2 separate regions of the Mus musculus genome follow, and region 2 is reported to be linked to region 1. Evidence: microRNA targets listed by miRTarBase, many of them from high-throughput screens and not tested one by one. Region 1 holds a microRNA gene; the other region holds the end of a gene's coding sequence.

Region 1 (3,000 bases):
GCCAGCCACCTGAGTCACCATCATGTCCCAACACTGTTCTGGTTAGCTTCAAATCACACCATCCTACCCAGAAACAAGCAGTTGGCAGGAAGGAGCCACCCAGAAGGGACTCACTGGGCCTGGGAGCTACATGTGTCCAGGGCTGATAGGCATCTTCTATTTTTTGTTTGTTTGTTTGTTGGTTTGGTTTGGTTTGGTTTGGTTTGGTTTGGTTTGGTTTAGTTTGGTTTTCAAGACAGGGTTTCTCTGTAAAGTCCTGACTGTCCTGGAACTCACTTTGTAGACCAGGCTGTCCTCGAACTCTGAAATCTGCCTGCCTCTGCCTCCCAAGTGCTGGGATTAAAAGGCATCTTCCATTTTTAAAGACTTATCTATTTGTAGCTTCTGTGAGTTTTCCTGCATGTGTATGTGTGTACCATGTGTATGTCTTGTATCCTCAGAGCCAGAAGAGGGTATCAGATCCCTTGGAATTGGAGTTAAGGACAGTTGAGAGCCACCATGGTGGTGTTAGTAACTGACGCTGAGTCCTCTGTGAGAGCAGCTAGTGCTCTTAAGTGCTGATCCATCCCTCCAGCCTCTTGATGGGGATCTTCAGTGACACACCCAAGCAGCTCCATATACCACTGAAACCATCCTTTCCACCCTCTGTGACCCTAGAGAGTTCAGTGTGTGTAGTATATAAGTCCATGTATGTCATTTCCCGCTGAGTGGACAGTGGCTAAGTCCACACCTTGATCCGCTTGTATAGGCACCCAAGAGTGTGCCCTCTGAGGATGGCGATACAGACTAGGGTATCCATCAGGTTTAAACCCGCTTGAGCCTCGTGTCATGGCTCACAGCATTTAAAAGAAAGATGCAGTGACCTCTCTTTGAGTTCAAGACCAGCGTGGTCTACATACAAGTTCAGATCAGCCAGGACTGTATAGTATGATCCTGTCTCAATCAATAAATAAATAAACAAACAAAACAATACAAGCCAGCTCAGAGGGAAGCTTTCTCCTCATTGGTGGGTATGACTAGCTTCCTAGGTCCTCAGGAGTTGGGGTGCGACCCCCTCACTTCCTCATTGTACACTCTCAACTCCCAATGGTGTCACTCCCAATGGCTGGGCACTGGCTTGGCCATGTGTCTGCAAAGTTCCAGGGTCTCTGGAAGCCCATCAAGCATGCTGGTCATGCCTGGCTGCTCCATCTCTAATTGCAGAGAGGACAGTGACCTACAGGGGCCTGTCCCCTTGGGAAGCTTGCCTGTCAGGGAGAGCCCCAGTGTGTGGATGCTGACACTCTCCCTTGTGCTGGCAGGTGATGGACATGCTGCACTGTATGGGTCCCGACACTGTGGTCATCACCAGCTCTGACCTGCCCTCCTCACAGGGCAGCGACTACCTGATCGCGCTGGGTAGCCAGAGGATGCGTAAGTGCCTGTCCCACCTGCTCCTGCATGCTCCTGGGCCCATTGTTTACGTAGCCCATGGCATTCAGGCCTCAGAGGATGTTTGGGGCTCAATAGGAAGAAGCTCATACTGGGTCAGCAAGGGGCTGGTTGCTCTTGTCCCCCAGGAGAGTCAGACAGACAGAAGGCGGGCTCAGGACAGGGCTCTGTGGAGCCTGGTGGGGCTGGATGGGGTGCTGGGGACATAAGCAGACTCACCCACCCCCACTTCCTGTGCCTGAATTGGCAAGTTCTCATGTCTGGTGAGCTCCCCTACTGTGGGCCTGTGGCCTCTATTCCAGAGGCCAGCTGCATCTGGCTTCTGTGGCCTAGGTGGCCAGAGGGTGTAGATATCTGTTGGGCTGTGGTGACTTCGTATACAAGCAGCACCTTAATTAATTGTTTGAACAATATTACAATGCACAGAGCTGAGCCACTGGCTCTCAGGAACCCCAAGTTCACACCCACTGGCTCCAGTGAGCATTCTGGATGCACAAGGGTCTAGGGTTGTGTATCTGAATGCTTGTGTGCTGCACACATGCATGTAGATACAGACAGGCAATGCATCCAGGCAGTTCCTGGCACACTGAGTGTTCAACACCATGCTGACGTCATCTTCTAGGGACTCTCTCCTTTGGGACAGTGGAGGCATTTGGGGGTTGGTTATGATAGTCCACACGAGTCCCAGAACTACTGAAGGATGCCACACGCCACACCACATCTGTGTGACCATCTGAAGGATGGGCAGTGCTGACCTTCCTGTCACTTAAGAGATGTGGGGACAAGTTGGGCTGATAGGTTCTTCTCGATCTCTTTTTTTTTTTTTTTTTTTTTTGAGACAGGGTTTCTCTGTAGCCCTGGCTGTCCTGGAACTCACTTTGTAGACCAGGCTGGCCTCAAACTCAGAAATCCGCCTGCCTCTGCCTCCCGAGTGCTGGGATTAAAGGCGTGTGCCACCACACCAGGCAACAGGTTCTTACTGTAGGGGTGACCAGTGTCTGACTGAGAAGTCTCAGACCCAGTGACCTGGCTTATGTCCTCCCCCAGGGAAACCTGACGGCTCCACGGTGACCCAGCGCATCCGGATGGAGATGCGCAAAGTGGAAGCTGTCTTCGTGGGCACCGGGGACCTCTTCGCTGCCATGCTTCTGGCGTGGACACACAAGCACCCGGACAATCTCAAGGTCAGTTGTACCTGTTGCTCCTCTCCACCATTCCCTCAGTACTCCTGGTGGGAAGGTAGTGTGCTATGGTTCTAACCATGAGAGAGAAGAGCAGGTTAGTAGGGCCTGGGCCTGAGCCAAGAGTCTGTGGGAGGGTGGAGGGGACCATGTTTACATGTTTGGGAAGTGATGGCGTGGAAACAAAAACCTCAGGGGCTAAGATTTAAAAGTTGGTACTCAGGTAGCTCAGGATGTATGTCTAGTGCATGCATATGACCTGGGTTTTGACCCTCAGAGTGTAAAAGGTAGATTAATTTAAAAAATTAAAAGGACAGAAACTACCATTCACACAGGATTCAGCCAGAAATCCTGGGCCCATGCAGCCTTTCAGACTCCTCCTTGGTGG
Region 2 (3,000 bases), not on the chromosome of region 1:
GAGAGGACAAAAATTGTCATTTCCTAATAGTATTATTCCTGATGTGTGTACCCACACAAGTAGAAATGGGGTGTTGTATCACTACCAGTATCAGTTTTTATTGGTTTTCTGTAGCTTGTTTTGTCTCCCCATATTGGCAAGAGCCTGCATACAATAATTAGCAAATTAACTACTTGTGTAAGTTCTTAATTCGAAGCTGTCTTCTATTGGGATGCAGCTTTAATTGGTGAGATACTGTGTCTAAGTAAAATACGATTTCCTTGAATGCGTAGTGTAAAGAAATGAAAGCTTTCTTTCTGCTCTGGTATAGTTACTTGTCGTTTTTGCTTTCTCTTCCCAGATTTTCCAGAAAATGAACCCCCAGTCAAGAAGCAGTTTACAAAGAGTGCATACAGAGGCTTTGAGAGTGTGAAGCAGACGATGCAGGCACCTCTGCATCCGTCCTGGGAAGCGAGCAGGAGGCGGAAGGAGCAGCAGTCCAAAATCGCTGTGTTTCAGGGGAAAAAAATTACATTTGATGATTGATTTGATACTTGCTGCCTCTTTGCAAGCGTTCTGTCAAAATTTTTGGTTTTGTTTTTAACTAACATGTTATTTAAACTTGCATTTTAAATAAGTCTCTTTCAAAGAGTTATAAAATATATTGCTTGTTTTTCTTTTTTTATGTGAATTTAGGGAATATTTACATAATCTTTTCACAGATCTCTAAATTTATTTCATAAGAATGCTTGCCCCAAATTATTTCTTACATAAAGTAATTTAGATATTACGGAATTTTAGGTTTTCTCATTCATGATTACAAAATATATTTCGCTAGTTAAGCTTTCCCTTTTGCCTTCAAAATAAGGCAAACAGGGCTTAGGAGATGGCTCACTTCCTGGGGCCCGATGGCCTGAGTTTGACCCCTGTGATTCCCTTGGTATGAGGGCAGAACTAATTCACAAAGTCGTTCTCTGATTGCACATACACTGTGGCACATGCCTATGTACATACAAATATGTTCACATATAATAAATGTCATATAAAAAATGTTAGGACATATTTAAAATAATAGTGAGAAAAGAAAGAAATTAGGACTAAAAAATATTTTTATAAGCAAAACAGAAATGGCAATTTTCATTGTGGATATAGAAATAGTATATAAATAAATATTAATTTGTGATAGTTGCAGTTACTTGTGACTTATCTTTGCAGTGTTTGAGCAACTTGCTTATGTGTAGCAACACCTAAAAGTTAAGTTCTAAGTACCCCTGCAATGAGTATTTCCATTCATTGAAGAATGGATCAATAGAGCCCTAGTTTTTCTGTCCATGGACCAAGTCCAGGATATAGTGTTCATGGTACAGAAAAGTTATGCATGGTGTCTAGTCACTTAGGCAAATATTGGAGTACAACACTGGGAATTGAACCTAGGGCCTCATGCATTCTAGGTCTTATACATGCTCTACCACTGAGGACCTTGCTGTGTGGCTCAAACAGGGCTGGGTTTTTACTCTCACAGTACCAAGATGCAGGCATTTTAACTTGTGTTGAAATGTAGAAGAGGAGGGATTGAAGTGGCTAAATAGGAGTTCTTGGACTCCTAAAGAACCATGTACTCCATACAGTAAAGGAAAAGAGGTTTGTAAAAGATGCTTGCCTGTTTCATACAGTGCAGTGACTTGTGTTCAAAGGAAAAGAAAGAGGTTTGTAAAAGATCCTCGCCTGTTTCATACAGTACAGTGACCTTAAAGGAAAAGAGAGAGGTTTGTAAAAGATCCTTGCCTGTTTGCCTTTTATTGCTGTGGAAGACAAGAAAGATGGTTAGTTAATTAAACAGTGCTAACTGAATTCTATGTGGCCTGCATATATATTCTCTTAGAACAAGGTAACGCCTTCCACTCTGCCTTCAAGCGCCTAGTTAGCAAGTGTACGTTCTGTTTTACAAACTTAGGAATGTCAGTAACTAGAACAGTGGGTTCAGTTTATGGCGGAGATGTGGAGTTTTCTTGAATCTTCATTCCAAGCAATTCCCTGTAAACCCCCCAACCCCCCCAAAAAAAAGTAAAGAAGAGAGTGTGTGTGTGTGTGTGTGTGTGTGTGTGTGTACACCTAAGCAAGTTGGAATGCTCTCTACAGTTTTGTAAGTTTGCCTAAGAGAGTTCCTTGGGCCAGGAGTCCACCTAAAAGTTGGAGGCAGACTTTTACATCTACTGCTATAGTTTATTACACGGAGACTTTACAATGGCAATGAACTTGCTGCTGTGCCTCCAGATAGAACAGCTGGTAGGGCATTTGAGTTTCTGGTAACTTTGCCCTTAATGTCTGGAGAGGTTCAGATTCATGAAAGGCACCACAGCAATCGGATATAGTCTAGACATACTAACTCTCTAGCAATAAAGATTATGTTTTATCAGACTAAAATACAACTCAAAGGTTGAAAAGTCCTGGGTTTGTGCCTTTTGATTCTCTTACTATAGTATTGTCCTAGCAAGTCTTCCTGTTATATAGGATCACAAACTGCCTGGGCCTGTGAGTGCCTACACTGTCCCACCTGCTACCTGGTGATTTTTGTCTCTGTCTTGATATATTTAAGGATTGACTTTGCAGCAAATCCTTAAAGGGGCTCTGCAAGTCTTTCTAAATCCTTCCTCCCTGATATTTAGCATCACACGTTCTATTGACGTTCTATCTTACCTCAAACTTTAGTAGGAAGACATACCTGTATTCTGTATTATCTGCCTAAGAGTGCTCTCAGGGTTAGCTGACGCCTCTGAACCAGTCAGCTAGTTAGAGCTTGGTTGCTTCTTTTTCTTTAATCTTCAGACATGGAGTCTCAAAACTGAAAGAAGAAAGTGTCTAAGCTCCTGGAACCAACTTTCTCTGAACTCAGGAGTTAATCAGGCTTGCAGTAATCCAAGGAGAGAGAGAGAGAGAGAGAGAGAGAGAGAGAGAGAGAGAGAGTGTGTGTGTGTGTGTGTGTGTGTGTGTGTGTGTGTGTGTGTGTGTGTGTGTGTGTGT

Evidence for each region. Region 1 holds the annotated microRNA mmu-miR-6908-3p (ACACUCUCCCUUGUGCUGGCAG, at 1,280-1,301, shown strand). A microRNA usually pairs through its seed, bases 2 to 8, with sites in the 3' UTR of a target mRNA and lowers its output. Matches are read on the target gene's strand: a 7mer-m8 pairs with bases 2 to 8, a 7mer-A1 pairs with bases 2 to 7 and ends in A, and an 8mer does both.
Region 2: the mRNA of Srfbp1 is a reported target of mmu-miR-6908-3p. The part of its 3' UTR that is shown has no 7-base or 8-base seed match.

The regions. Positions count from the first base shown.
Region 1 is chr10:78,443,396-78,446,395 of GRCm38, reverse strand. It overlaps Mir6908 (microRNA 6908), which reads left to right and starts at 1,239; the gene lies at 1,239-1,301. It overlaps Pdxk (pyridoxal (pyridoxine, vitamin B6) kinase), which reads left to right. Exons shown (of 11, transcript NM_172134.2): 8 at 1,302-1,413; 9 at 2,479-2,615.
Region 2 is chr18:52,490,104-52,493,103 of GRCm38, forward strand. Srfbp1 (serum response factor binding protein 1) reads left to right here. Exons shown (of 8, transcript NM_026040.4): 8 at 341-1,830. The coding sequence ends at 525. Among named protein-coding and RNA genes, the nearest start is that of Srfbp1, 26 kb to the left of the region's middle.